4 linked regions of the Struthio camelus genome follow. The protein of the gene in region 1 interacts with the protein of each later gene in a pairwise test. Links are inferred from orthologs where the notes say so. Each region holds a gene or a part of one and is shown on either strand. Other genes may lie near its edges.

Region 1 (8,060 bases):
TTTTCAAAAAATAACTGTAATAACCTAAGAGGATAAATACTGCTCTGTTCCCATACCTTTTTGGTAATCTATTCCCAGACATGTCTCCTGTGACAAGACTCCTTGTGGCACCAAGGTCACAAATATCATGATTAGTCTCTTTTCTCTCCACTTTCTACCTTTTCTTTCTCTTCTCCTTCCTTCCCCTCCCAACTGAGCTATTATCTCACACTTCTGCAACCTCTACATGGTCAGGAAAACCTGGGCTTTACCCTCAAGAGCTGGGAAGGAAACTAAATCAACATGGCTCAAAACACATACCTTCACATTTGTAATTTGCAACAGCATGCAAGATCAAATCTTGGCATGTGTAAGTCAAAAGGAAAATGCCTGGTATTTGCCTCGACATATAAAACATGAATATAGAGCATAGCAAGGTCTAGGTCTGAAAGTAAGAGAGCATCTTTCCAAGGCAGGCGCAACATTACTAATTCAAAAACCAAACTATTCACCCACACCCGTCATATCATGTTCCACCATAATTATCTGGCACTATCAGGACAGAATGCCTGCACACAGTCACAACACGACTGACACATCAAATTTAAAAACAAACAAACAAAAACCTAAAAACTTCAACTTCACTCTTCTGCCCTAGTACAACTGCTTCCTATTATAGTCACAAATGCCTCCAAATAGAGCAATGACCTTGACAAGGCCACTTACCTCTATGGTGTCCAAGACTTCTTCTGCAACTTAGAATTTCCTTAAATGTCCAAGTAACTGTTTTACTGCAGTTTTGCACATTTAATCACCTCTTTGAGGAATAAATGCCACAGACCTAAGAGAGCACTATTTGCACTCATGACCAAGTTTCACAGGGAACAGAGAAACCCTGAGTCACTGAACACTCCCAATGCAAACCGATAGAGAACAACAAACCTGGGGTACGTGTGGGTGAGGACAGCTCTCCTCGTCACTAGTAGGAAGGAAGGGTATGTTTTAATGGGAAAAGACATAACCGAAAGCCTAACTCTAGTAATGTATTTTCTCTTGCGTCAACTTGTTCATCCTTTATGCCATGTCTGGCACAATTTGGGCCAAACTCACACTGGAAGGCATTGTCTGTTCAAGTTTGGTTATGCTTATACAAAATAAAACAGGCCTAGCTAAGCTTAGAGAGAATAATACCCCTCCCCCTCCCAAAAAAAGTAACCTTCACGAAATTCCTGGAAAAGTATTTACAGACAAATATTGCAGGCATTCGATCTACTAACTATTTTATGCAATCTCTGCAAAAGCAACTATTTAAATTGTGACTGTGAGAGAAAAGCCCATGACAGCAAAGTGAAAGCATACTTGTAACTAACTTCATCACAGGCGAGCATAAATTAGCATTTCCTCTGGCACACTGCGTAAGGGGTCTTCTCAAACCCTGTCCTGTGGGCCACCTGACGTGCATAGACCAGACCATGCCAGCTCTCACAACTTTCAACCACTTCCCTGAGCAGCAAGACCCTTCACCACAAAGAAGAGAACGGTGGCGAACCATACGCCCAGCTATCTGTCTTCTACCGGAGCTGGACAATGAAAAGACACCTCCTTATGGGACCAAGCCACCTACAAAATAGGCACAGGAAGTATAAAGAGAGCAGCAGTGATTCCTGTTTACAGCCAGGCAAACCACATAGCTTACTCTGCCGCATGCTTTACATACACGCACACAGAGGTAAGTCCTTCTGCACTCAGAAATTGCTCTGAGGATGGGGTGTAGTCAAAAGCAGACTGCTGCCATCAAAGCTGTCCTGGCTGCCCCCTTCCCCAGCAGCAGCACGGGGACAGCCAGGGAGCATAGTTCACTGCATTTAAGTGGACAGCCAGAAAAACAAGTGTCCCCTCATAACACATGTCACATGACAGAGAGATTGCCGCACGGTCCCAACGAAGATGAGATTTGGGAGTGAGTCACTTAGTCTGAAATTCGTTCTCCGCTTGTAGAACGGAGCACAGCCAGGAATAAGTCCCGAGCTGGACAAACTGCATGTATGTCGGGCAATTTTGCCTTAACGCATCGGAATTCTGCAGTCTCACTTGAACGCTTGCCCCAAAACTGCACCGCTGGGCTCTGAGACGATGCGTGCCCAGCTCGGCTGAATCGTTCTCAAAACGTTCTTCCTTCCCTGTTCAGACACTCGATAATCCGAACCAGGCTTGCCACTCTTGAGACACCTTTGCAGGCTCAGAGATAACTTTCAAGAGGTGTAACAAGAGGAAGCAAAACGCGATAGCGTAGTCAGAAAAAGCGTTTCCTTTCAACGAGTGCAAAGAGGGCGGCCAGCCATGAATTATGAACTGCCTGCGCGGAATTAAGTAGCGGGCAGCTTCCAGTGAACTGACAGGCACGGATTAAGAGTTTTATAACACAACTACCTTCCGGGAAAGAACCTACTAGTAGAAAAGATATTTCAAACCAAACGTCGTCCCAGCCATTTTCCCCTCCACGCTAAAGCAAAACTGCCTTTTAAACAAGTTCCCTCCCCCAAAGGCCACTGCTCGCGGGCAGCCAAAGTTCACGCCACGCAAACCGCGGCCTCTCTCCCGCTGAGGAAACACCTCGACGCCCGGGAGGCGGCGGCGGCCACCCCGCCGCGGGGGAGGCACGCGCGCGCAGACAGAAATAGCCCCGCGGGGGCCCCGCCGCCGCCCCGGCCCGGCCCGGCCCGGCGGAGGCGGCCGGAATCCCAGCGCGGTTTCCTCGGCCACCGCCGGGCGCGGGCGGCGCCCCCCACCCCCCCATCGCCTCAGACGGCGGCGGCGGCGCCCCGGGGAGGGGGAGCGCGGGGGGCGGGGGGGGGGGAACGGCTCGCGCAGGGCGGCGGCCGCGCGGGCAGGGCCGGGCCGCCGAGCGACTGGCACGCGCTGTCGCCAATGGGAGGCGGCGGGGGCTCCGCCGCCGGCCAATGGCGGGGAGGGAGGGGCGGGACCTGCCCCGTTGTCAATTTGCAGCCAATCGGCGGAGGGGTGCGGGGCAGCGGCCCCCGGGACCCCGCTGCCCTGCTCGGTACGGCCCGGCCCGGCCCGCCCGCCCGCCGGCCCCCTCCCGCCGCCGCCGCCGTGAGGCGCCGCGGCCCCTCTGATCCCCGCGCCGCCCCCGGCGCGCCGGCACGGCACGGCACGGCACGGCACGGCGCGCTGCCGAGCCGCCGCCCCACGCCGCCGCCGCCGCGGCCTCACTCACCCGGGCGCATCCCCTGTCACAGCCGCAGCATCCCCGCCGGCTCCCAAACCTGCCTCATCCGGGCACCGCGGGGGGCGGGGCCGCCGCTGTGACGCGACAGAGGGAACGGGGCCCCGCCCCTCAGAGCGGGGCGTGGGGAGGGGCTAAGGCAGGCCGCGCCCGCGGGAGGGCGGGGCCGGCGCTGGCACCCACGTGGGGCGGTGCCGGGACGCCTGGGCCCCTGCGCGGTGCCAGGCCGGGGGGAGGGGAGGCTCTGGGCGCGGGGCCTGGCAGGGCTCGTCCCCCCCCCCCCGGGCTGCCCGCGGGCCGTGGCCCCTCCGTGGCCCCCCCAGAGGCCCGGGCTGCCCCGTCGGGTGGGTTTGCGGGGGCCGGAGCCCGTCCCGGGGCTCCGCGGCAGCGCGGCCTCGCTGCGCGGGGCGACGTTTGCCACCCGAGTGGGATGGAGGCGGATGTGGGGCCCACGGGGACGCGTCCGCGCTGCCGGGAAGGGCTGAGAGCCGGTGGCCGCCGTGGGGTTTTGCGGCGGGCTTCCTCAGGGAAACCGCGGCGAGGCGGCAGGGGTCGGCGGAGCTGCTCGGCGGGGCTGGCCAGCCCCCGGGCCGAGAGCCCTCGGCCCTTGCCGCCGCGCGGGCCCGCGGGCCTGCGTCGCTCGAGCGCTCGCTTTACCTGAGCGGCCGACTTCGCTGCGACGTCTCGCAGCTTTTTTCTTTGTTTGACTTAATTTTATCTTTAGCTTATTTTGATGATGTAGCTGAGAGAGAGAGAGAGAGAAAGAGGCCTTAGCAGAAGAAAAAGCACCAGGGATGACTCCAGCGCACCCGTAAGGCCGGACTCAAGGCCCCGCTCCGTCGCCCTGCTGCTGGAGCACCGAGGTCCAGCCGCTTTTCCCCCCCTCCCCCAGCCCTGCTGTTACTTCTGCTGCTATCAGACAGACGAGCAGGTGATGCCTGCGGGGTTTTTTTGCAGAAAGGAAGCTGGTAGCGGGTAAGACAGGAGAGGGAGGCCCTAGGGGGAAGACCGAGTTGTTGTCGGGCTGCAGAGGGCGATGGCGTGGGGTCCGCGCGGGGTACGGCCTCCCCTCGGGCCTGACGCCTCTCCGGACTTGCGGCTGCGCGGTGAAGGTGCAGGAGGAAGAACCGCTGCCTGCGTTTCTGCTGCTTGGGGTGGACGGAGCTGAACGGCTTTGCCGCGAGCTGGCGGCTCAGCCACGCTACGAAAGCACAAGCGGAGGACGGGAAGCGGTGCTGGAGACGGGCTGCAAAGCTGAAGTCCTTTGCTTACGCCTCTCTGATCCGGCGACAGCCCCGCAGTCAGGTGTGCGAGCAGGCGAGGGCCGGCGGCGCGCCGAAGCGCTGGGATCCCAGCGGGCGTGGGGCTGAATTGCAGCGTGGGTTGCAGTCCCTTGCGACCGTGCCCTGCGGCACGGGCTTGGGCTGGGGGTGCGCGGGTGACGGCGAGCCGGATGTGCTCTAAGGAGATGCCTTTTTCAGTGGAAACCACCGGCCTGTCCAAATGAGAAGCACGTTCTTCCCAACAAAACTTTCACTGGGGAAGTATCTCGGTGCCGGCGCGCAGTGGCTGCTCAGGATGAGGGACGAAGCGACTCCGTGGACCAGGATAATCACTGTTTCCAGAGGGAGGGGGACATCCCGGACAGGCCTAAACCCATGTCCAAATCGAGCTCTACGTGAGCACGTTCATGATGGAGCTGTTCCAGGGCCGCTTCTTGGGAGGGAGGTTCTGGGTGTGTTCTGATCTCTTGATTCTTGAGACTCAAAGTATCAACTTTGGCAAGAAAGCCGTTTTCGACCCATCCAGCTGGCTCTCCATAGCTCCGAAGCTGCTGCGTTCCCGTTCTCCCTGGCTACATCTGCGCTAGTAAATTAAACAGGCCCAGGCCTGCTCTCTGGGAGGACCCCTGGCAGCGTGGTGTGTGTCCACCCAGCTCAACTCGCTGCCTCCCTAGCAGGGGGATTTGCCTATGTGTCTTATGGACATCTGTATCCCCGAGACCGTGCTGTCCCCCAAACTTTGCCAGCATCAGGGATAGTGATGGAGGCACAGGCTGCAGGCATGCTGACAGTTACCTAGTGTGAGATGAGTCTGTTGGGACTCAGCTCGTGCCCAGGCCCCGGAGGTCCTAATTTTGTTAAGGCCCCCCTGCAGATTCAAAAGCTGGCTTCTGCCCTGGGTGGGCTCTGGGATGCATTTGGGCACAGAAAATCAGCCATAGCATCCCCACCGCAGCTCCTCCAGTGTTCCGGGCAGAGATCGAGCCCTGCCAGCGTGTGGAGGAAGGCTTGAAGTCAGCCTGGCCGCTGCCCTAACAAAGTCAGCACTGATTTCATCACGGTCCTGGACCGTACGGAGGCACGTGTGGAATTTTCTATATTTAGACTGAGAAATTGCCATCGGTCAGAGCGGAGAAGCACTGCCTTTCCCTGCAGCCATGCTTCCTGCGCTCAGCAAGAGAAGGACACGGAGAGGTCAGAGCCAACACCGGCCTCCGACCCATCACAGCGGAGCAAACGGGCCCTGTTTCACCTCACCAGAGCCTCCTCTCATGTTCTCCATCCCTGCTGAGCTCTCCCCAAAATGCCCGTTCACTTCGCTCCCCATCCCAAGGGGCTGGGTCACAAGCGTGTTGGTCCTCGTTTGGATTGAGAGCCCCAGCCAGTTGCTGATGGGGTCCTTGTGCCCTGCGCTGGGAGCCTTGGTCCCCAGGGAGGATCTTGGGGGGATCCCATCTCCTCCTTGGAAATGCAGAAGGTCCTTCAGCATCGGTAGGGGGTCCTGGACCCCCATCAGTATTGGTGCATGGGAACTGGACCGTGACTCCCTGAGGTGCCAAATTGCTCCCCTTGACAATTCCCATTCCCACCTCTTCCTGCTGGCCTTCCCTGGGGATGGGACAACATGCCGCGCGTCCCACCCTTCTCCCTTCCTCCCATTGTGCTGTTTCCTATCTCTGATGCCTTGTTTGGGATCGGTTACCATGATATCTCCCAAGTCTATGTCCTCAGATCCCCTCGGTGAGGCAGGCAATAGGGCACTGAGACCGTGGCCAACGCACTAAGCGACTTGGGCACCGAATGCCCATGGATGTGTATGAATTGGGCACCTAAGTTCCTTTAAAGGGTACACCTGAGGGGCAGGAACACCGCATACCCAGACGAGTGGTAGAGAAGGGATTGGACTCTGTTACCACAGGGTTGCTCCAGCCACTGGGCCATCCTTCCTTTTCACCCATAGCCTTGCAGTCGCTACGTTATCCTCGCGGCGTTGCTGTGTTTCTGTCCTGTAAGAGCCCCTAGAGCGGGGAAAGTCACTGTATAGGGAGGCTTTTTTAACTGTTTAAGTAACCTGCTGGCCCCAAGCCAAGTTTGGGGCAGCTGTCAGCCTCTGAGATGGACTATCACTGCTCATCCCGTCCTCCGTATTTCCTGGTGGCTCCTTCTCCAGCAGTACCTGCCAAATGTGTTCCACGGTGTTTGCAACACGTGCCCCACGGTGTTTGCAAAATGTGCCCCGTGGTGCCTGCCAAATATCCCCCATGGTGCCCGCCAAATTTGCCCCACGGTACCCACCAAACATGCCCCATGGTGCCTGCCGAACAGCCCTCTGGAGGCCACAGCTTCAAGGGCACGGGCGGAAAGAGGGCAGGGTGCCCTCCGCGGTGGCTCCTGCACAGGAGCTGCCTGGCAGCTGGACTCCCAGCTCCTTTGCATGAACCTGATACTTAGGTTTCCTTTGCATATTAAATTTGCTTCCCCCTGTAATTAGCCAGACGGCCTGTCATTAGCCATGGACGGTGCTTTCGAAAGGCCCCACGTGCCACCCTCGCTGAGGGCCATGCCTGCATGCTGCCGGCAGCGTGGGGAAGCTGCGTTTGAACCTGTGGCCATGCCGCACTGCCAGCTGTGTGACAGCCCGCGTCCTCTGCGGGCACTACGCCTCTGAGACCATCCTCTGTATAGTGTTTCCTGATAACCTTTTCTCTGCCCGTGTCCCACTAGCCATAAGCTATGGGTTGTCCAGGGCTGATGGTCCCATACTCTTCTCCAGGGAAAAAAAATCCACTTTTTACCATGGAGGATGGGGATGGGCGTTTTTATACGCGCCGAGGACAGAGTGCAAGTACAGCTGCCTCCCAGGTCCCGCGGTTCAGTGAGCACCATGAATCACCCGTGACTCCTGTACAGGACTTTTTGGGTCACCTTGTGTGCTCCGGCTATTGCACAAGCTCAGGAACGCTGCTCAGCAACTTCTGCACTGAGCCCAGGATATGCGGTAGGACCAGAGCGTGGCTCGGAGCCTCGCGCTGCCCCTGAATGAAAGAGTGGAGGTGAAGCCACAGCATCCCGGGGGAAGCTGTCCCGGTGGTTAATTCCAGGCAGGATCTCTGCTTGGACTCACACCTCTGGGAAACCCCCAGGCCGGGGGCTAAGCGCATGGTTTGGGGCTGTGGCTGGGGAAATCCGCTTGTCTCCTTTGCCCTGCTTTAGCCTTGGTTTGCAACCCCCCGCCAAGGTCCTTGGCCCCGGTGGAGGGGTTGACCAGGGGGCTGAGCAGTGGCGGGAGGCCTGGCTGGAAGAACGATCCTCTTTCCCGGCTTTCCAGGCACCGTGTTGCTCTGATCGAGGGGTAGCTACAGCCGGCTGGGTGCTGTACACGTGCACAGTCCAGCTCTGAAGCAATTCTGAAGCAATCCAGCCTTTCTCGCTGCCTTGTAAAAGCTGTAAGGGAAATGACTCATGCTGTCTGCGTCGCGTTGTGCCTTGTCCGCGTGCATCCCGCGCACTCTTGGCACAGCGCTTTCCGTCACTTGTCTGATTACAAAACG
Region 2 (7,085 bases), on another chromosome or scaffold:
GGTCTGTTGCAGAGAATGGAAATGTAAAAGAACAAGATTGTCTTCTCTGCGTTTAGACAAATTATAACAAGTGTAATTTTTATACAGTTCCAAAAGATTCCTGAATGTGCATCCCTGGAATAATTGAACTATTTAAAGCTTCACTACAGATAACTTAATGTTTCTACCTCCTGTTGCTTCAAAGTGAAGGAACGCTTCCAACTATCTTATCAGTTCTACTAAAGCCAAAATACAGTATTTTACTTTCCAAGGAGAAGAGGGAGACAATTTCAAACTGAATCATACCATTTAGGAGAGTTGCACATGTCCTAATGAAATCAACAGAAATTGAAAACTATGAGTGAGTGATCTTTGGGAGTGCTGGGAGTAGGAGAGGAGGAGCAAAGATGGATTCTTACAATTTAGGTGGCCCACTGGTCCACTAACTGAGGACACAGTACCAGTCTGAATATATACCTCATTAGACACATGAGGATCTGGATGCGCCACCTTGGGGTGGGGGGAGCATTTCAGCCAGCTCATATTTGGGGACGTAAAGCAACCACCTGCTACCAGGCTTCACTGTTCCTGGGGCTGACAGGACTACTTTCTGCTTTTTCACATTACCTGCAATTATATTAATATTTGTAGATTATACTTAAATATTTTTACTGTCTATGTAAAGAAGTAATTGTATTTTAATTATAAAACACGTAGTGCTGTATCCTTTTGAGGAATGAGGACTTGGGAGTGAAAGAGATACTAGCTTTAAAAGGAGCAAACAATTGATGTGATCCTGGAAAATGTTATAAACGTGACCGGAATGTGCAGAACTGAACTCTAATATTGAGAAGCTTTATTCATTTAAGATAGTGTTGCAGGAGAACAGTAGCTTACACTGTCTTCCTACTCACCTGCCCAGTCAAGAGTCTTCCCCTGAATGATCATGAGATGCGTTGAAGAGGAAAACATCTAGCGCTACAGGTATTTACAAAATATTGTGAAAAGAAATAATATTCTGTAGGCCCTTGACGACGAAAGAATTACATTCCTGTTACTTTTGATGAGTGATGATGAGGGAGAAAACAAATCTGTAACAAACCCATACTATTTATGGCTTTATATACAAGACTTTGAATTGAGCTTCCTAAATAGCCAGTTAACTCAGGTTGCCACGTTCTACAGCTGATACTGAATCTTTACGCCAAAGTTCCTGCATTTGTTCCTATAAGGGTGGCCATGAAGCTTGTCTTGTGGAGTCTCTCCAGGTAAAAAGTAAGAAAAACCAGTGCATCCAAACAACCCACAGGTTGCAGATTACAGTGATGCTGCCTAGCCCCTTAAAGCGGAGCCATGACTTCTAAAAATTTCCTAGACTAATACTCCTGAAAACTCCTGACAGCTAGGCTAAAAATGGAAGCCTTCTGTTTTCAGTGTGGGATTAGAAAAACACCTCAAATTTTCTCCCTTTTAGTTAATTTCAAGCAAGCTCTGTCAAAAGAGGGTTCAGAAATCAAAACCAAACATCTCCCCATCCTATGACACCCAGTTTCACCCCTGTCAGCATGGCTACATTTTAAATAACCATCTCGCGCGGCTCTGCAGCTGAGCTCAAGCTGAGCCAGGAGAGCAGGGATTCGCTAGGGTAGGTACCAGCAATGCACTGGTGTCTAGAGGCTGCCAGTAGCTTTATGTAGGCACTGATGTGATGAACGGTAAAGCCAACTGAACAACCCCTAGCTTGTCCAATTTTTTGCAGCTATTACAACATGGTAAATAGCTACCCTATCAGCAATGCATTCTGAACTGACGTGAGGGTTTATCTCACTGAAAATGAGGTAAATTCTTTTACAGTTTGACAAGGTGTACGTTACAGAAACGATAAAGCTTCTTCACAAGTTTTTTAGGGCTGCTAGTCTTACCCAAAAAAAAAAAAATCATAAATGAAACCTGACTGTTTCTGGGCACCTTTTCTGAAATTTCAATTTTCCTCTTGTGTTCATCTCCACCTTTTATAAGCAATCATTTGTTGGGCTAAGCCAGTTTACAGTATGTTTCACAAAGAAGACATGATGCAATATTTATCTAAAATGTAGTAGTCTGACTGCAGGAATGGTGAGCAATAGCAATACTGAGACTGTGTGCAAAGTGAATTATGGGTTATATAAAAACCTGCCTAAAACTAAAAATATTTAGAACTGCTTAATCAGAATTTAATCTAAAAATATATATACCAACTCAGCATAAAATACTTTTCAGGAATTGATTAGCTAGCTGCTGTTATTAGCATGTAGCTAATATTTGGGCTATCAACTCCTACTGGCCAGTCTTCAATTCTCAGAAAATGTTTTATGCCCAAGTCACTGTTGCCTAATTAGAGCCTGCAAGAAAAACTGATGAGCCAGGGAAGTTCCATAGTATTGCATGCACAATTGTGTACTATATACTGTTGCCAGATACAGGGAGCTTCGCGGCTGGTTATTCAGGCTTTTACAAAAATGCTTTTGTAGTTGTCTTTAAGGGCTAGTAGTTTATTGGCAGTTATTTCACCCATGTATCACCAGACTCCTATTTTGATCCAAGACTGTAGTTTTCCCTTTGCTTTCTGTTATTTCTCTTGTTTCACAGGAAGGCTAGTCACGAGTTCACTCCAAAGATCGAGTTTGGGGGAAAAAGAAGACCTGATTTTATTGAAAAAGAAATCTCACTGCAAGAATCAAAACAAAGCCACTTTCCTGCAACTTCTTATGCATAAAATACAAATTGCATAGTAATATTTCAAGGTCCATAGTTTATTTTGCTACTCCTAAACGTTCTCTTCAGTTTCATATATATGGGAAAAGGTCACTGATGCGGATTTTTTTTTTTCCTAATCTTCAACAGTTAGGATAAATACCACATCCAGACATGTGGGTTAGAAAAACTAATCTGTTTAGATGCTACTCTACTTGGATTTTTTTTTCCCCAACATTGAATTTCAGTCACTTTATTGCATTTTGTCCTTTTGTGTGTGTGCAAAAGTAAAGGTATTTGGGAAAATGCTGCTGCAATTTAATTTATATTACATGGAAGAGAAGATGGATTTAGTTTGAGATTTTTGTAAAATGCTTTGTGAATAAACTACATAATCTATTAAGCAGATACCATCCCGTATGTTAATGCAGTACTTGAGATTTGAAATGCACAAGTGGCAAGAGATGGCTTAAGGACAATAGCTTAGGCAAGCAAATTGCTTGTCATCGTTTGCTTTTCTGTAACCAGGTCGCCCCCCCCCCCCCCGCTCTCCCCTTTCCCTGCTAAATCCCTCCAGAAAGCTGGATTTTGTGTTAATGGGGGTGTGTCTGGGTTTCATCTTAGGAAGACCCCCCGCGCCCCCCTCCCCCGCATCGCTGAAGTGCACGGTGAGGGCTGCGGGTCGCCGCTCTCGACCTAGGGAGCGATGAATCCCCCATCTTCCTCTTCACGGGCGTTAGCAACTCCCCCTCCCCACCCCCCTCCTCCTTTCTTTCTTTCACCGACGAGCTTTCCCTCGCTTTCCCAAACGGGAGCCAAAGAGGTTTTTTTTTTTCTCTCCTGGCCCCCCACCCCCGCCCCTGCGGGTGCCGGGCCGCCCGCCGCCCCCCCCCCCCCCCCCGCGAGGCACGGCGCGGCCGTTGGGCTCGCGCGCCGCCAGCGCCGCAGCGGCAGTGCGCGCGCCGCGCTCGTGCGCGCCGGGTGCTGCAACGGTGCCCCGCCCCTCCCCCCCCCCCCCCGGCCCTTTTTAATTCCGCCGCCAGCCACCAGCGGCCGTTGGGCGGGGGAGGAAGGGACCCGAGCTGGCGGAGGGATAACCTTTTTCTTGAGGCGGCCTGGGGCGGAGGGATCCATACGGTGGAGCCGCCCGTGGGCGAGGGGGGGGAGGAGGGCCGGCTGAGGCGGCGCGGTCGGGCCGGCTGGCTGAGGCGAGGTGGCCGTTATTTGGCAGGAGGGGTGGAAGGGGAGGTGGTGGCCCGGGGGGCGCGGGAGCCTGAGGCTCGGGGGTGGCTGCAGAGCCGCGGCGGGCGGGAGAGCCGCTGGAGCGAGGCGGGAGGGGCTGGGGGGCGGCCGGGGAGCCCGGCGGAGGGGCCGGCGGGCGAGGAGAAAGCTGTGACGGGCGGGGACGGGGGGAGCGGCCAGCCGGGGGGAAGGGCGAGGTTGTGGGGAGAGGCGGCGTGTGCCGGTCCTGTCCCTATGTTGCGTCGTAGTTTAGTGGAAAAGGGAAGGGGTTAGAAAAGGGAACTAATTAAAAATAGCCTCTGATCCCTGCTGGGGGCTGGTGTCCTCTCTGGGGCTGCCTGTGCCATTTGGGGGGGGGGGGGTCATTCTCTTGTGTGCAGAAGCAGCCTGAGGGGCTTAGCGCCGAGTGGGGGTGGGGGTGTATGCCCCTCTTCTTCGCTTAACCTCGTCTTTTTTTTTTTTTTTTTTTTTTGGTGGGGACGGGGCAGGATGAGCTTGCAGAGTTTTACTGGATTTTCTCCTTCCTTTCTGAGGAGCTACCGCTGCTGAAGCAGATTTTTCCTTCCTTTCTTTTTGTCTGATGTAGAATCCTAGTAGCTAGGCAGCCTCCCTCTTTTCTTCCTTCTACCCCTTCAGTATGTAGGAAGGGAGAGACATCAATGGAAAGGCCGAAATACATGTAGATGGACTTTCAAATGCTTTTTTTTTTTTTTTTATTTGGAAAGAGGAAGATAGAGCCTACTTGCCACCGACTTTTTTGTTGCTGTTGCACTGCTTTGTAAAAATGGGGTTTGCTTACTCCAGCTGAATCCTCTCAGTGTTTTAGCAAGTTGCTACAGTGGAGGACTTCTCATATTTTTTGCATCAGAGGAGCAACATTGATGCTAACCTTTTTTTTGTAAAATGGAGAGCGAAATATTCACACCCCTTTTGGAGCAGTTCATGTCTAGCCCTCTTGTCACCTGGGTAAGCATTAATTTTTCTTTACACGTTATTCTTGTATTTGCTTGTTGTTTGAGGATAAATGCCTTGCTGCACAGAAGAGGATGGAATTTGTGTCACAGTGTTGATGATTATATTTTAGGTTAAGACATTTGGACCGTTAGCTGGAGGAAATGGGACCAACCTGGAGGAATATGTGGCGCTAGTGGATGGCGTGTTTCTGAACGAAGTCATGCTGCAAATGTGAGTGTACTCGAGTTGTGTGTTGGATTTGGTTATTACTGTTGTCTTCCCTTCTGTATTTTACTTTCTTAGGAAAGCTCTTCTTACCTTCAATAACAATGTTAGTAAAAATGTCTTCTTTATTTTATGCTTGAAGTAGTCTTGTGGCTTAAAGCATTCCAGATACTCTTTATTTGTTTGCAGTACAGTATTTTTAATGCCAAAATGATGTATTTGCAGGAGGTATACGGTAATACAGGCAAAGTCATATCTAGAACTTACTGGAAAATTGCGCTTGAATCACTGTAAATGCAGTTTCCCAGATTTCCATTTAGAAGCATAAAGGTTCGTTCTACTGTAAGTCGCAGTCATAAACCAAATTTCTAAGCAAATTGCTTGGTTAATAAGATTCTAATGCATATCTTAGTTCATATGGTATACAACTTAAGGATAGTATGTCAGTCAGCGTAATGTTGTCTACTAACCAAATGGGCTGTTCTGTAATTCTTTTCGCTTTGTTTTTCACAGTGCCAAGTTTGAGTAAATAGAAGTTGTGTAGTAAAGCTGAAGTGTTATTTGATAGTGTAGAATGTTTTTTGGGTTGCAAACCACAGAAGAAACCTTTTTACATGTTTTCTACAAGTGTTTATTGAAAGCTGTGATTGGTAGAAAGCTTGCTATGTAATTTTATTGATGTAAGATATTACAAGCTATGTATTTATATGTAATTTAGAAGGCAGGTAGATCAAGAAGTTCCAGTCATAGAAATACAGAAATAGTCAACTGTGTGTTGTATTGTGTGTGTGTTTTTTTTTTTTAATCATAGTTTTGACTGGAATGTTGCCCACTACTGTAATGCTAGCGAATAACACTTTTGTCAAGTGCATAGCAATATAATCATAAAACTGCTACCCGTGGAAGAAAGATCTCAATTTTTTCCAGTATTTTAGATCTATACAGAGAAGTACATCTTTTCTTTGCATAGCTATGAGTAAGTGTAGGCTTATGAATGGCTTGATAAATAACGCCAATGTGTGAGCAGCTCGTAATGACAGCTGTTACACTGCTCAGTGATAGGCATCCTTGTACTGTGTTCATAGTTCTTACTTCAATTTTTTTTTTTTTTGCTGTTGGTGTTTGGCATGTTTAACTAATCTATGTAAAAGCTCTGCTCACCACATTTAAGACTGAATTCTCATTCTTTAAAACCAGTATCTTGTCACCAACTTCTGTGCGTATAAATTCCAAGTACTCGTTTTCTGTTGTTCTGAGAAACATGGAAAACTTGGAGTAGAAATTTCTGTAAGAAATCTTGAACTTGAGTGTATTTCTGGCATATTTTTGTAAAAAGAATTGTAAGTGATGCATTCACAGAAACCCTATTTTTATTCTACAGCTTAAATGTCTTTACTTGGTTTAGGTATAAACTAGGTGTAGAACTTTCATTCAGTAAAAACATTGGATAGTTGGAAGCGAAGGCCTAATTTAGAATTGGGACAAGGTGATTTTGAAAAATGCAATCTTGAAATTAAACTCTCTCAGCAAGTTTTTGCAGTATTAAGAAAGAGTATAACCTGATTAATACGTATATGGGAAGTCTGCTGCCTTTGAAAACGTAACTCAAATGGAAAGTTGTAGTGAGGGAATATTCCCATGCTTCGAGCGCTGTGTTTTGAATTTGACTTTAACTTTGTGTGTGCATCTTTGGCCCCATTCCCTGGAGTACTACAGTTTATTTAGGAAGAGTTATGTGCGTACACATAAAATAAATACACATTGAAGATGTGAATTTAAGAGTTTGGTTGTCAGGTCAATTTGAAACTGTCTTAATTTAGAAATATACGTAAATATATTTCACAATTATGTAACCGCACTGGAAGTTATATTTTTATCTAAAATACATTTTTGGGGATCTAAAATGTGTTATGATTGATTGCTATTTAGAATTAAAGTTTCCAGGACAGCTT
Region 3 (7,840 bases), on another chromosome or scaffold:
GAATGGACCGCAGAGCTTAGATCTCTCGTGCACTCCAGTTCAGACAAGGATTAAGGAGCAAATTCCACTCTGGGTTTGTGAGAGCAGCTGCATGTTACAGTAGTGCAGTGTTTCTGCGTGTAGCTTCCCTGATCCCTTTATCTGGGAACAAAGGTGAAATAGGCTGAGAGGAGACTCTGCTCTCAAGGGCTTTGGAGAACTAACACTCTGGCTCATGGGGCTGCCAGGCACAGCATGGGCCTGCACTAGGGGTCTGATGCTGTGTCCTACTCTCTAGAGATGCTCAGAGGGAAACGGGTCATCATCACAGGCGCCAGCAGTGGAATCGGAGAGCAGATGGCTTATCACCTGGCACGCATGAGGTCCCATATCCTGATCACAGCACGGACGGAGGCCAAGTTGCAGAAAGTAAATGCAAAACAGAGCACTCCCAAGGTGCCCAGCCACCATAACATCAAGTAGACTAAGTTTTACAATCCAGAATCCCACAGGTAAAAAGTGCATGGATGTTCACCCTATCCAGAGCACATGAGGATGCCAGATACCATAGAGATTCGCTGTTCCATTTTCCCCAGCATGAACCTGGGGAACTCCTCACACCATTTTAGATTGTATTTTCAATGCTGACAGCACAGCATTTTTCTCCACAGTCTGCAGTTTTAGACGCTGATCACCACCAAGGACAATACTAGGCTGCCCAGATCTTGGTCTGATCAACCCTTATGGTTGTCAAAGTCTGAATTGTTTTGGTTCCCAGTATGCAACAGAATCAACTAAGCAGTCATATCCCTTTTCAGTATCTTCTATAAACACTAAATATTTGGCTCAGATGTGCCACTGTTTAACTCATTGCAGCCAGAAACAATTATATGAGCAATACATCTCCTCCCATGAAGTCAAAACAGTTACCAATGGGCAGAAAGACATGCTCTTCCTATCTGGCCCAAAAGACAGCTTACAGCATTTGCAGGATGCTGGGAGCTGACACAGGAGTACCTGTGTCTAACACTGTTCTCACTGCCGTCACAGGTTGTGGAGCGTTGCCTCAAGCTGGGTGCAGCATCTGCTCGCTATGTGAGTGGCAGCATGGAGAAAACAGCATTTGCCAAGGAGGTGGTGAAAGAGGCTGAGACAGCCTGGGGTATGTGGTGGGATCTGCCTTTTCCTCATTAACCTCCAACACCCCCCTTGCTCAAGTTATGTTTCAAGGTGTTCTAGCCAACAAGTAAAGGCTTTTGTTTTGAGGATGCAAGTTGCCCATAACAAACATGTTCTGCTTCCAGGAGGCCTTGACATGGTTATCTTAAACCACGTCGGTCACAGCTATCTCAATTACTTCAATGGGGATGTCGGACACATACGAAAGCTCCTAGAGACCAACTTCCTCAGCTACGTGGCCATGACTGTTTCTGCCCTACCAATGCTAAAGAGCAGCAATGGCAGCATTGTTGTCGTTTCATCCATGGCAGGTGAGCACGAGACAGGCTAGGGAGTCCCAGGGCAGCCAGTGCCACGCTCTTCTCCGATTTTAAGCCTCTTCCACTGCCTGCAAGGGATCCCATCTGCAGCTTTTCCTCAAAGGAGGGAATAAGGACCATAAGGCAGGAAGTTATCTGGCTGGGATTGGAATCTGTATATATTGTGCACCCAGTGTGCAAGTTAAGTCATCTGGAAAACTTATAGTTTACACCCCATTCTTCCTCAACCTACCCACTGTCTTCTCCATGAAGGAGGGATACACACTCCTGAGGTCCTATGTTTGCAGTTAGCTGAACTTCCTGCCAAAACCTGGGATGAGAAGATTAAAAACTATGCAAGTCATCTCTCTTTCCTGCAGCTCCACAGGCATCCATGAAGGGTGCACAGCTGGAGCTGTACCTCTAAGCCCAGAGACAGGAAGTTCAGGGAGGGGCTGCTAAAACCCACATCTTGCTAAGCAGCGATAGCAAATGCTGAAGACAGATGTTATACGTCGGTTCTTTCTTAACATCAAAGCAACAAAACCTGCCTTGAAAGCATTCTCTGATAAAGGCCAAGGACTACACAAAACTGATGGGCCTATCACAGCAGCATACCTTCAGCATTAAATCTAACTTTCAAACTAAGAAAAATACTATGCATTACAGTTGATGGTATGCCACTGCATGTTATTTATGTGCATGGCCATTTATTATGCATTTGCTACACATGGATGCGTAATGCAGGAACGGAAGAACAGTATCACCTACAACTGAATGTACTTCATGTCACTATATGTCACATGCTACAGGAAAATTAAGTTAGGAAAACTTTTGTTTCTCTCCTCCTCATTTTAAACATCCTTTCATATATTTATTTCTCTCAAGTACTCAGAATAGATCACTTAGTCACTCTAAATCTAAATATTTTAGCTACTCCAAGGACAGTACTCTGGTGCAATATGTGAACACTGACGTTCTGCCTCCCATCCCAGGTAAAGTTGGCATACCATTTATTGCTCCCTATTCTGCAACCAAGTTTGCCTTAGATGGATTTTTCAGCTCCTTGCGACAGGAATTCATCACTGACAATGTCAATGTTTCCATCACACTCTGTGTCCTGGGCCTCATTGATACTGGTAAGTTTGACATTTATCTAGGCCTCACTATTTAGGAGCTGTGCACACCCATTGCTAAGTCAGAAAAGGCATTTTAGACAGAAGAAAGCACTCCAGATCTGCCAGTATTCTACTTCCCCAGCACTGCTGAAACCTCAGCCCTTAAGTGGCGGCACAATTTTGGAAACAGGAGCTCAACATTTAAAAAAAAAAAAAAAAAAAAAAAAAAAAAAAAAGCGGTCCCAGACCTTTGACTCAACTATCCTTGTAATAAACTCAGGGGAGATGGGGATTTGGTTCTAGAATTAGTTGAGAGTTGGAAAGGCATGGGAAGGATATTACTGTAATTTTGTACATATTCTAAACTTTAGGAAATAAACCTGATCCCCAGCATTTCTATTAGTTTGTTAAATGAAGCCATGGATACCTCTGAACTTTGAGCCTCTAGTACCTGTTGCAGCCTCCCTCCATCTGACATCACTTTTTCTTGCTCTCCTCTCTCTAGAAAGTGCTATGAAAACCATTCCCCATGCGATTCGTGGGACAGCCGCACCAAAGGAGGAGTGCGCGCTGGAGATCATCAAGAGCGGAGCACTGCGCCAGCGAGAGCTATACTATCCATACTCAACCATGAGGAGTCTGCTCTTCCTTCGAGACTGGGCTCCAGACTTCCTTGATTCTCTCATAAGAAACAAGTTTAAAGTGGAAAATATCAAAAAAAAGTAGCTATAGGACACAGTGGATCCTCCTAAGGCAGCAAGCATGTCAGCATGAGGCCACAGGAACACAGCGGAACATTGTGCAGGACACACGATTTTGGTATTAATCCAGCTATTCTGGGTGCTGTTTGCTATGTCACCAGAGTGGCTTCACAGTGATACATCTGAGCAGTTGTGTCCCCACTCATACAGATGTTTAAAAAAAAAAAAATCCCGCCCTATGATGTTGCGCATGGACCTTTTCTGAAAGCAACATGGCCGGGGAACACAGGGCCTCCTCAAAGCTGTCAATTTAAGAGAAGGCATATCAGAAATCTATGACACAGCATGCAAATGTCTGTTTTAGTAACAAATTCTTGTAACTAGCTTTTTCTGATCAATAAACAATTCAGAAAAGTGTACTGACAGCAGAATTTCCCTATCAGTGGATTTTCTCTGCTGGCAGCTGGCCACTCCAGCCTGAATAAAGTTAAGCTTTGTGCCTTACTGCAGTTCAACGTCTAGAAACTATTCCCTCACTAGAAAACCTGCAAGTCATTAAAACTTAAAATGTTTTGAGAAGTATACAAACTAGGATCCTGGGCCTTCTGATATTTGTATATGCTTTTGCCGTATATTTTCCCTTCATTTTATCACATCCCTGTCACAGAAGAAGAGATTAAGTAAAAGGCAATTAACGTGAAAGAGAGCTGAACCCACAAGCCATACTCCAGTGTTTCTGCAGGAAAGACAAGGAGACTCATAGGAGCTTGACTGAAAAATTTAATACCTTAGTGACCTGGTCAAAGCTATATTAAAAAATTAACAAAAAAGATTTAGATTGGGGGCATGGGGAACAGGATTATAAAGGGGAGCCACATGGTTAATAAGCAAAGGGGAAAGGGGCCTCAGTTCATTCCAAATAGGGATTTAGGCTGAACTGCATGAACCTCACAGACAAAGCTATACAAGAGGGTCTTTGAATTGGATTTTTTTGGTCATGTACCCATTCTAGGTTGGTCTTTAGAAAAGAAATCTCATATTACTTTATAATATACTTTTATTGTTGCTCCTCTTCCACATGAATATACAAACAACCTTTACCAGTGCACAGCTGGTTAAACCAACCTCTCTACATGATTTGCATTAACACAGCTTTCACTTCTCTGTAAAGACCTTGATGAATTTCTGCCATTCGTGACCTTTCCTCAGCTGCTAAAATACACTTTTTCCAATCTACAAGAAGCCTTAAAATAATAGCATTACTGTACTTCCCTAAGTCTGCATTCTTTACTCAAAGCAGCTTGGAAAGATTCAGTCACGATGCGCCACAAACAACTCCTTGCACCAGCACTCAACCTCAGAGTGTCAGAGACTGATAAAGAAAGATAGCCCAGAAGGTAGTTGCTGGCCCTAACAGTGAAATTGCAGCCTCTCGCATCACAACATAACCCAAATCTCATACTGAGCCAGGCCCCAGCACTGCCTTGCACCTAGCAGCATTTTCTCCTATGCTACAAACTCAGAGCAGAGACAGGAACCAGGGTTAGGCACTGTGGCTTATACATTTCCTGTTTTAGAGAAGAAAAAAAAAAAGCAGCAAAATTAAGCGGTTGGAACGAAGATGGCAGTTGGAGCATGTTTGTGCCTGATAATCTAGCGCTCACCCTTTTCTCCGCCAAAGCTTCACAGAGGTTGTGGAATAGGACTGAACTCATTTTCGGTTCTTTCACTTCGAGGCTAGCATTACAGGACAGAGGTAAGTGTCTACAGCTCTGGGGCTAGCTAAGGATGGACAGGAACAGCAGGCTGGCAAGTTAAAAGGCGGCAGCATGTGCCTTTCCCCCCCCACACCCCTTCCCTGGTCTCAGCCTACATGATTGACACTGGGAGGTTGTAACATGAACCAACAAGAAACTTTTTTTTTTGTTTTTTTCCGTTTTTTTTTCCCACTTGAAGTGAGAAGTGTAGCAGCTTGGAAAGCAAAGATAAAGGACACTTTTTTTTAATTAGAGAGGGTAACTTTAAGTGACAGAAGAAAATAAAACATTAACTTGTCAAGAATGCCTCAACAGTTTGCTTAGTGTGGGGTAAGTAACGGACTGTGTATTTCTCTATGTTTCTGCCTTGCTTTAAAACATATTTTTGTTTAACCAGCTATATTATAAAAGCTTTTCTTGGGATGCACAGTAACAGGATCTGCAGACCACAGAGGTGGAGCAGGTGGGACAGTGACTGCGCTGTTACAGAGGGACAGAGTTTAACCGACCAGGCCTCTGAGCGTGGAAGGGAGAAGGATGTCTGAGGAGCAGTGCCCCGATTCAGCATGTAATTAAGTCATTTCTAAGTTAAGAAAATTAAGTTGAAAATGCTTTTATCAGATCCTGAAGAGTTTGGAGCAAGTTTGGCTGTATATATACATTTTGTCCCAAAATAAGGGTTTCATATCCAGCTTCAGGTTTTAAGGGAGGTTTGTTGGGCATATTGCTTTGTGAAGCTGTTTGCCAGACCTTGCCTGCTGGGCTAAGGAAAAGCGCATGTGTGAGCAAGAAGAGAAAAGGCCCAAAATGAAAACAATGAAATTATGGTTTGGACATGAAAGCTGTATGGAAATAATATGTTTTGCCTTTTAGAGTCCCAGACTTCAATTACGTATTACAATAAGAAGCATCTGAGTAGTGAAATACTGTTGGGATTGTTCTGTAAATTTAGGCTAAAATTAGAGACACTTCAGAATCTATTAAGTTTCAAAGAACAGAATATTAAAACAAATATGAATACAAAAAAGACTGCTGTCTAATCTTTCAGTTAAGTGATTAATTTCAGCAATATCTTTGAATCTTCGTTTTCCTGACTGGCTGGCTGAGCATTTGAAGCAATATGCTGGTTGTTAGTTTGCATGCATTTCCTCTGTTTAAAGGCAAGAACTATTCTGATCGTTTTAAAAAGGCTGTTCTCATTTTGAAAGGAAGTCCCTATAAAAAGGCAGTGCTGGTAACATGCTTAGGTTATGCCACATCTAGAATAAAAGCCAATAAAGAGTATTACGGTGCAGATTTTAAACACAGAAAAAATTAATTTTTTTCATTAGACTCATTGACTTCTTAATTGCTTGAGACAAAATGAGACAATGCAATTGTTGTTTTTGTTTGACAATTAGCAAGATTTAACCTGGATTTTCCAAGACTAAAATTCTTCTTTTTCCATACTCCATCCTACATTAAAACAAAACAAAAAACCCCACACCACAATACTTCTCATACTCAGAATTGATGACAGATACAAAAGCAAGTAGGGAAAGTTAGCAGGAGCACGGAAGGCCTGCCAGGCATCCGAGTGATCTACTGAAGCCAACCATCTTTCAGTTTGCCAAGCTTTGAGAGCAGCCAGCTGCAGGACACTGAACTAGCAGAGACGCATTTAATAACTGCTACCAACAGTTGCTTCAGAAGTGTTGCACATAGCTTTTACTATCATACCTTTAGTGGTCCAATCCAAAGACAAAAGCCTCAGCATTCTGATGTCACAGCAAAAAATAGGGTGAGACATTGGAGCCTTGCCTTGCAAAGATACATGCTGTTGTTGTGACCGCTCCCTCCAGGCACACGAGTTGCTTTAACATGGAAGATGACATCTGGAAGAGATCTCCATTTCCAGCCTCTGGACCCTATTATCGGAAAATAATCTAAGCAATACCTTAAGTTTCCCTCAGCCCAATTGGTATTATTGTCACAGTCCCAACACAGCTATTCCAGTCCTCACTTACACTGATGTAAATTAGCATCAGAAACACTCAAATACACACTGAATTGGGGAATTTATTCCTATATGATGCAGAACAGAAAGTAGTCCAACTTTAAACAAAAGTTGGAGTTAGGAATTACATGTTTGTGCTTTGATTGGCGATTTGAGGTTCGCCAGTCTCACAAGTGTTTTTGCAGAGTTTGAACTCCACTGCATGCAGCCAAAGCTCTAATTTTTTTCCCCTGGGCTTAGAAGGATTTGCTGGTTTTCCCTTGGAGATCATGGGAGGAACAGGGGGGTGGAAAAGGTTGCCTTGAGAGTTAGCAGCCATCTAAGCCAAAATACTGGGGAAGGGGAGGGAGCAACACAGAGATAAAAGAAAGAAGCACTGGCTAGCTAGGGTTTTTAGAAACTGGGTGCTTAGATCTCTTGGGCCCTTTTTGGATGTTCCACTGAAAAACATCTCTGTAACACTGTTTTCAGTGTTCCAGACCTCTATGCACACAGAAAAGGCAACCATCACTAAGAAATACATGCAACTGCTTGAAAAGTAAATTATACAATAGCAAACCTATATTTACTATTTTTTTTACCTTTTTTTTTTTTACTGAGAAAAAAATGGCAAAATAAATGCACACTTAAAAACTTCATTACAGAAATAGCAGTAGCCATTGTTCTTCCTGTGTTTTCTTTAGGTTAGCTAAAGGGCTGTAAGCAGAAGCAGTGATGAAGTTCAGTGTGCACAAAAAATAAAAATAAATAGTTTGAATAACACAGGAATTTTATTTCAGCAAGAAAGCAGTTCTCCCAAAAAAACTAGTGG
Region 4 (8,048 bases), on another chromosome or scaffold:
CCCGGCCCCCTTCCCTGCCCCCCCGGGCTGCCCTGCTGTGGGGGATCCCGGCCCCCTTCCCTGCCCCCCCGGGCTGCCCTGCTGTGGGGGATCCCGGCCCCCTTCCCTGCTGTGGGGGATCCCAGCCCCCTTCCCCTCTGTGGGGGATCCTGGCCCCCTTCCCTGCACCTCGGGCTGCCCTGCTGTGGGGGATCCAGGCCCCCTTCCCTGCCCCCCCGGGCTGCCCTGCTGTGGGGGATCCCGGCCCCCTTCCCTGCTGTGGGGGATCCCAGCCCCCTTCCCCTCTGTGGGGGATCCTGGCCCCCTTCCCTGCACCTCGGGCTGCCCTGCTGTGGGGGATCCCGGCCCCCTTCCCTGCCCCCCCGGGCTGCCCTGCTGTGGGGGATCCCGGCCCCCTTCCCCTCTGTGGGGGATCCTGGCCCCCTTCCCTGCACCCTGGGCTGCCCTGCTGTGGGGGATCCCGGCCCCTTTCCCTGCCCCCCCGGGCTGCCCTGCTGTGGGGGATCCCGGCCCCCTTCCCTGCCCCCCCGGGCTGCCCTGCTGTGGGGGATCCAGGCCCCCTTCCCTGCACCCCGGGCTGCCCTGTTGTGGGGGATCCTGGCCCCTTTCCCCTTCCCTGTGCCCTGAACCACCCCATTGCCGGATCCCGGCCCCCTTCCCTGGGCTCTGAGCCCAGCAGTACTGGGCTGGTATGGCACACCAAAGAGAATAGTAACCAGCCACCGCAGGGTTACGTTCTTGCTCACCTCTAAGTGTTCTTTAAAAACAATGATTCTAGCTATCCTTTTTTTTCCTACTCTGATGAGTCTATCTAAAGTACTCCTACTATTTTGCATTCTATTAGCTCTTCCGAACTCCCCCGCTTTTCCTTTCACCAGACTTTACTTCAGACTTCTAAAAGAAGACTATGCAAATGAAAATGTAGATTATTAAAAATTCTTAAATACAGATAAGTCAGTATGTGGAATTGTTTCCTAATATTATTTATGGATCTTGGGTCCTTTAATACTGAATTGAGTAATAGCCTGGTTATTTGACAGTAGGGAACAGTAGAAGTTGGCTCCTGCAAACAAACTTCCTACTGCCTAGCTTCTTTAGCTTTTGCTGAATTTGGATTCCCCCTTTACACACGTAAAGAAATAATTAGATCCTTTGTGCAGTATGAGCCAATGTGACCAGGAACCCTTATGTTACATATGTTTCAAGGGAATTCTGTCTGCTGTACATAGTTCACATGTGAAATAGGGCACAGAAATGTGTAACTTTCCCGAAGTCCTAGGACTGTAGCCCTTAAATATATTTTCTGAAGGCAATGAAAGAAGATGGCAACTTTCCTCCTTTGTTCTGGTTAAATTAAGGAGTTGCCTTAGTAAGTTCCCCCCCCCGCCCCGGCTTCTTCTCCCTAAGAAGTTTCTTCCCTTTGTGTTTAATACATTTGCTTCTCCTCCTCAGGTTTCAAGGAAGACAGAGCACTGGTACATTCATTCCCCTTAGCATTGACTTAAGTCGTGGCAACCACCATGGGAACTCTGGTGGATGTAGTTCACTGTCGCACGTCACAGCCTGCTGCATCTTCTGTAAGTTTTCTGGAGTCCTTACTGGGCCTGTCCTTTCTTTTGGATGCTGGCAGGGGGAAGAGGCTCAGTGACATGAAGGCATTGGTTGCATTAGGGAGCTCTTTCTGCTATTCCTGCAGTTGTGGCCTCGCATACTTTGGTTCAGAATCCAACTCATTTGGCCTTATTTCCCCACCCAAATTCTTATCAGTGAGATCCAAAGTGTAGCCATGGATCCCCCTCTCTTTCCTAAGAGCTGTGGAGAGGAACAGTTAGTGAATGTTGATAAAGTGTTTTAGAGTCCTTGGATGGGAGGCTTTAAGGAAGGCTTAGGTGTTTGTGCTGGGTGGTGCTGCTGTGACACCACGACAGTCACACTATGAAAACGTGAAATGGAGAAGTAACAGCAACATACCTTGCCCATGCTTTGACAGTAGGAAAGTACAAGGGTTATGCTGAAATTGGCCAGGAGAGGGCAATGCCACCAACCAAACTGACATCCTATGCGTTTGTTTTGAAGATCACTCACACGCAGAACAGTAGACGCCAAGGCCCTTTAGACATCACTGCCCAGTCCCCTTCCTTTTGGATTTACCTTCAGGGAATTTTAACAGTCAATCTTGAAAGGGAGAATTGTGAAGCATTAGTTTTTATTGAGAAGCCCTTTTGTTTGCTTCTTGCAAAGTTAGTGTTCAAAGGCCTCTTGTATGATGCTATAAAACTGAAAGAAAAACATGGTTCCTGCTACAAAAATGAGAGTGAAACACAGAGGAGAGAGATGGATTATAATTTAAAAAAGGTATTTCAGCACTCTCCCAGCTGCGTTTGTGTTACTGTTACAAACAAAAGAAGGGCCCAGCATGCTTTGCCTCTCAGTCGAGCCAGCAGAAATGGCCTAGTTTCTAGTCTCTGACATTCATATTGTCAAAATGAGGCAATTCTGTTTCAGAGATAAGAAGCCCCATGTAGAAGCAAATCTTTGATGACAAAATCTCTGATGGAAAATAACACTGTGAGCAGGCCTGCACCTGAACCTGGCACTAATGAGAACACCTTGCCCTTTGCTGTGTTGGTGTTCTAGTAGGTAGAAGGTCCACAATAAGGATGCAGGACTGAGAGGAAGCACCTGAATTTCGTGTTTCACTCCCAGCTTTTCTTGGTGATCCAAAAAGGCAGGCGGTGGAGGGCTTCTAATCTGAATAGTCTCTCCAATCCAAAGCAGCTTCTTCACAGCTCCACTACTGTGTTCAGCTGAGCGAGTCTTTCTGCATTTCTCAGGGATCGAACTACTGTATTATGGGTGACATATCTGGCTTTAGGTCCTCTCATTCGTACCAGGAAATTGGCACCAATTGATTGCCTTTTCACTGAGGCTCTGATTGGGGCTGGTGCCACAGAGAGCTTGTACTGGGAGCTTGGAATTGTTTTGAGTTTAGGTGATCAAATAGCAGTGTCTGACTTCTGAACACAGCCAATCTGCATCCCTGACAACCTAGAGATACCTGTCAAAACCTCACATAAAGCTTCTATGGTCAAATATAGGTTGCACAGCAAGCAGCGACTTAATGGCAGTCCCTGTATCCTGCTGTTGCCCAAATGCTTTGCACTCCTTACATGATGGAGTGCGAGCACTAATAGTAAGTGCTTCGTTGTTGCCCATTGCTAATGCAACAGGACACCTACTGAATGCCGCTGAGGATCGTGATAAATGAACTGTTTTTCTCAGTGTATCAGCTTATCGTGATTTAAACAATACCCTTTACAAATTAAATCCTGCGTGTGCTTCGTGTTTCTGTGCTGTTTGAACAGATTATCTCTTTATTCTTATTTTTATTTATTTTTTAAATCCTGTGAATTTGTGTCCTGTCTCCAGTGTAAAATCTGTGGCTAGGGACTGCCTGCCTATGGTTTCTCTCCTCTTCAAAGGAGAAGTACCAATATCTGGAGCCCGTGAGGATTATAAGCATATAATATTTAATCTGCCATCAAATTCATAAAATAAATTCTAAAAATAGAGGACATCTAACTGCCATCTGCCACCTCTCCGTACAGAGTGAATTTGATTTTACTTCAGTACATCCTGAGTTTATTTTTCTTTATTCCATAAATTCAAGCAGTATAGGGAAGGGTTGACCTTAGCATTCTCACCTGTTAATATTACAGATCTACTATGAATGTATATTTACTATGTAGCACTGAAAAACAGATAGTAAATATGACCTTTCTTTGAGAACATTAGTCAAGATACCATTGTAAAGTCCATAGAAAAGGCTCCAATGAGATCACTTTCTATCTGATGGGGAAGCCATTTATTCAGATTATATATGAAATTTGCTTGAAATTGCAAAAGCACAGTCTACTTGATTGCATTGTACAAATTGTGGATAACTATTTATTGCCATCTAATTAGCCATTTTGAGTCTCAAAGGCAGGCTGGATCATGGTGCGAACCATCAGCAGTGCCATCTCTCAGGAATTTTATGCAAAGCCTCACAATATTTATTATTTTGCTTAACAGCTGTGATGCTACAATCAATGATAACATAAAAATCCTAGTCCACACTGAATTATTAAAAGTACATAAGGAAGACAAACATGAATAAGTAATTTAAAACTCGTATTTTTGGGGGGGGAGGTGGCTGGCTCCTTTTGGAATGGATTGGGTTGGTAATAGTATGAATGACCTTTTGCTTGTCTTTCTGAATTTTAGCAGCATCTCTCCAGATGTGGTGGAGAGAATATTAGCATGATAAAATTCTGCCATTGCTTTTTCCTCCAGATCCTTCCAATACTTAGGCTGAAAAACATGTTTGTTTTCAAATGTGTCTTCTCACTTAGAAATGCTTGATCAAAACCAAATATTATGAAATCTGAAGGCACAGCCTGAATGTCACTGGACAGTACTTGTACTGTTGCTGTGTGGATTAGCAGCCAGAGCCTCTGGCAGAAGGTGGCTTTGGCCATTCTTGGAGGTTTTTCATGGTTTTTTTTTTTTCCCCTGGGCATTTCCTCTAAGATGAGGTGAAGTTTGAGGGATTGTCTGGAGATATTTGGTAGCTATTTTCTGGAATGAAGGCAATTATTATTGCTTTAGAAACCTTGCTGGCAATCGTATTTAATTCTATTTGGAAAGTTTTCTTTTATTTTTTTTTTTAATTCCTCAACTTATTTACATGGCAGCTAGAGTAAAGCCTGATACTGTGTAAATGTTACTAGCTATGCTGTAGCCTGGTTGCAGTTTCCTGCCTCTCCAGAGGTTGCTGAAAACGCTGCTCTTTCTTCAGGGCTGCTGACCCTTGGCTGAGAGTTAAAGCTGGAGGCTGTTCTAGTCTTCCCTCTAACTTTTCTAATGAAGCAAGACATCTGCTATTTGCCGTTCTCCTTCCTGCTCTCTCCCTGCCCCCGCGCCGCACAGAGCTCGCTGTGTTTGGTGGGTTTGAAAATCTCTTGCACGCAGCAGGTTCCGCGTGAGAACGATCGCTGGAAATAGGTTTCAGATGTTTCCCCAACTCAGTCCTGGGCCTGCATCTTGTAAGCTGAAGCGTTTCTATAGGAACCGTGTGACATCTAGCTTGCTACTCCCCCAGCAGCTCCCTCACGAGCATGCCCAGTGCAAGCCCTGACTTTGGCTCAACTATCCTGCGTGCAGCAACGGGCTGCGCATATGGGACTATGAATACGGTTCCTGATGAGCTCCAGCTCCAACTCTTTGTCTTTGGGAGGAAGAGGTCGTGCCCTGAGCCAGAGGAGCTGCCTTGCGTCCGCTGAGACCCTCGCCCTTCGGTGGGCTCGTGGAGAATGCTCGCCTGTTTGGCCAGGGGGAATTTACTGGATATCCTGCAGGAGGGCTTCACGGAGGTAAATGCATGTCCCAAGCCTCATGCAGACCTTTCCAGGGCTAGGCAGCCTTCTTTTGTGCAGCTTCTCTCAGGAACTGGTATGTCTCCTAGCGTTCTGAGAAACAGAAAAGGAGGAAATGAGCATGATTGCTGAGAGGGAGAGATGCTTAGTAACAGAAGAGCATACCGGGCAGCTCAGCCAGGGGTCTGCAAAACAGCAGTTCTTTTGAGGAGTTTGTGACTGTTTTACAGCTGATGTTTTTAGCTCAGATTTTTTATACTCTTTGCAGACCTTTTTATTCTTGTATCAGAAATACTATAAGCTGCTGTAAGGTTATGGGGAATGGATTATTTTGTAGCGCTGACGCCTCAAGTCTTGAGTCTAGGAGATCTCTGTGCCTGAGAGCTGTTGGAAAGTCTGTATACAAATCTGCTGTGTGGACACACACGGTTCTTGGGAAAGGCTGACACAGAGCAGCCTGTCTGGGTTGTTATTCCATCCTGTTCAGTAGGTTGGACTTCTGGGGAGTGAAATTCAGCTTGGTCAGGAAAATAACGTTTTTCAAGTGTTCTTTATTTGCTTATTCTGCTGTCAGGGAGCCAGGTAAATCATAAAACGAGGAATGAGAACTGCCAAGAAATTTTCCAGAGATGGGAATGCTGAGACTGCAAGGAGAGAGCAGGTTGTTGTTTGCTTCCCTCTTTAGGGTGCACAAGAAGTTAGTTGATTTGGACTCTCTCTTTGTGGACTTGGTACAAAATGCCAGGGCAGCCACTGCCTGCCTGGAGTTCATCACGCAAACCACGCTGGAGCACCATTTCGTGCCTGTAAGCTGAGAAGGAAGGAAAATTGTGGGGGCTTGCGCTGGAAGCAAATAGTGGCTGCTGTTTCCTTTCTCACCTGGTGGAGGGGATGGTCTTTTGGTGTGTTTTACTCTTTCCTGGAGCGCATATCCTGTTTTGGTTGTGTTTAGTGGTTCCTCGTCTGTGCAAGGCCCTGACACCATCTGACTGTGGAGCCCCCGTGCTCCATTCTTTACAGCAAACGCACATCCCTTCCGAACGTAGCAGCACCAGTCATCAAAGGCAAAACAAAAGAGGTATGAAACTTGAACCTCACAGCGTCATGCCAGCCACAGGTCTCCCTTTAACGCTCTGCTCAACTGTGTAAATATTCCATCCCCTTCTCTTCAGAGAACCTCAGTCTCGTTTTTAGCTAGCAAAGGTATCGCTTTAGTTCAAGTTGTAGAGATTTACAATTCCTGTTTTCGAGGGCATTAATTTCTTCTCTGGCGTAAGCTAACAGTAACCGTTATATTAATAGTGGGAACAAAGAGCAATTTTACATTCAATGCTAGTCCCACCCCGTCTGTCTGGTTTTACCCAGAGGCTGCCCAGCTGCCACGGTAAAACCTGAGATTCACCCTTATGTCTCTTACTTGGGATCTCTGCACTGGGCCACATCACGCGCTTTATAACTAAAGGCAAATTAAAATCAATTTTGCAGGTGTAAAACCTAAGGCACAAAGAGGTTAAGTGACTTGCCAAAGGACCCACATCACATCACTGACAGAGCTGGGAATGAACTAGAAACCCTGCAACTCCTTGTGTTCTGTTTTGATCCAGCAGTCATACTCCCCCCTCTATCCAGCTTTTTACGTTATGTGGTTATTTGCTTACGTAAGTCCCCAGATGTGATATAGTGTCCCGAGGTGTCCGATCCCAACACAGGATTCTGGTGTTAGAAGGCTGGGGGTGGCTACTAAGCATAACGTTTGAGTGTGAAAACAAATTCGAGAGAGTCGGACACAATTTTACACAAGTAGCAAATTGCAAGAATTGCCTTGCTAACTCAATGTCTGTTGTGCTTTTGGTAGAGCATCTTTTGTGGCCAGGTGGCTGTTTTTGTGACTAGGTACCTTGCAATATAAGGACATACTTTCCAAATCTATGCATAGAAGTTTAGTTCACACAAATAAATAAGTAGCTAGCAAGCTTATAGGGGTATAGGTGCTAAGCTCAGGTGCAACCCTGGACATGCTTGGGACCTGGAGGCTAGGTCTAGTTCTCTTGCTTTAGGGATGTTGGTTATGTGTCTGTCTTGCACCTTTGGTCTGTCTATAATCCATGCCTGGAAAGTTACTCTACCCAGCTGAGAGGCTACAGAGAAGTTTCTTTTGTTTCTTTGCATCCTCCCTCTCTGCGTCCTGCTGGCTGAAGGCCATCCAGGCAGCCTCGTTATCTCTTGAGCAAGGATGGAGAATGCAGCGTCATTGTCCCTTATGCAGCTAATGCCTGTTCTGCTTCACAGATAACCTGTCAGATTGGTGCTTTCTCCATGATTAACATAATCACAGATTGCTAAAGGGGGACCTGTAAATTGCAAGTTCAGGGCTGTGCATTTCCCTTCCCTTTCAGAGTCCCTGGGCCAAAAATGGTTGCGGAGGGTGTCATCTGCAGACGTCTAGAGCAGGGTAACTTTTGTTTAATGTTGAAATGGGAGTGAACTCCCCTGTGGGCATCACGCAGCTCCTGTCCCTCTTTCATTAATGGAATATCCTGCCTTGAAGGTGCTTCCCTGCTGTTTAGAGAGTCTTATGCTGCTCTGAGACAGCTAAATAATTCAGTCCCACAGCTGGATAGTGCCATGGGA

Evidence for each region.
Region 2: the proteins of NDEL1 (region 1) and CCDC88A interact in a two-hybrid assay, tested with the Homo sapiens proteins (2 studies listed by BioGRID and IntAct). The link is inferred for Struthio camelus from reciprocal best matches to the Homo sapiens genes NDEL1 and CCDC88A.
Region 3: the proteins of NDEL1 (region 1) and TRAF3IP3 interact in binary tests that used the Homo sapiens proteins (3 or more experiments, as listed by UniProt). The two-hybrid records come from large-scale screens. The link is inferred for Struthio camelus from reciprocal best matches to the Homo sapiens genes NDEL1 and TRAF3IP3.
Region 4: the proteins of NDEL1 (region 1) and DIXDC1 interact in binary tests that used the Homo sapiens proteins (3 or more experiments, as listed by UniProt). The link is inferred for Struthio camelus from reciprocal best matches to the Homo sapiens genes NDEL1 and DIXDC1.

What each region holds. Positions count from the first base shown.
Region 1 is NC_090960.1:13,233,419-13,241,478, forward strand, and holds the start of NDEL1 (nuclear distribution protein nudE-like 1), read right to left. Parts: upstream 3,270-8,060; 5' UTR 3,218-3,269; intron 2,751-3,217; exon of another isoform or gene 706-2,750; intron 1-705. UniProt on the Homo sapiens protein: Required for organization of the cellular microtubule array and microtubule anchoring at the centrosome. May regulate microtubule organization at least in part by targeting the microtubule severing protein KATNA1 to the centrosome.
Region 2 is NC_090944.1:118,737,713-118,744,797, forward strand, and holds the start of CCDC88A (girdin), read left to right. Parts: upstream 1-3,844; 5' UTR 3,845-3,925; intron 3,926-4,442; 5' UTR 4,443-4,857; coding exon 4,858-4,920; intron 4,921-5,038; coding exon 5,039-5,139; intron 5,140-7,085. UniProt on the Homo sapiens protein: Bifunctional modulator of guanine nucleotide-binding proteins (G proteins). Acts as a non-receptor guanine nucleotide exchange factor which binds to and activates guanine nucleotide-binding protein G(i) alpha subunits.
Region 3 is NC_090965.1:8,846,104-8,853,943, forward strand, and holds the start of TRAF3IP3 (TRAF3-interacting JNK-activating modulator), read left to right. Parts: upstream 1-4,691; 5' UTR 4,692-5,032; intron 5,033-5,226; exon of another isoform or gene 5,227-5,363; intron 5,364-5,463; 5' UTR 5,464-5,601; intron 5,602-7,840. Other genes in the region: 11-beta-hydroxysteroid dehydrogenase 1, read left to right, coding at 278-435, 1,030-1,141, 1,284-1,469, 2,453-2,596, 3,081-3,301. UniProt on the Homo sapiens protein: Adapter protein that plays essential roles in both innate and adaptive immunity. Plays a crucial role in the regulation of thymocyte development.
Region 4 is NC_090963.1:2,702,492-2,710,539, reverse strand, and holds the start of DIXDC1 (dixin), read left to right. Parts: upstream 1-4,979; 5' UTR 4,980-5,354; coding exon 5,355-5,414; intron 5,415-8,048. UniProt on the Homo sapiens protein: Positive effector of the Wnt signaling pathway; activates WNT3A signaling via DVL2. Regulates JNK activation by AXIN1 and DVL2.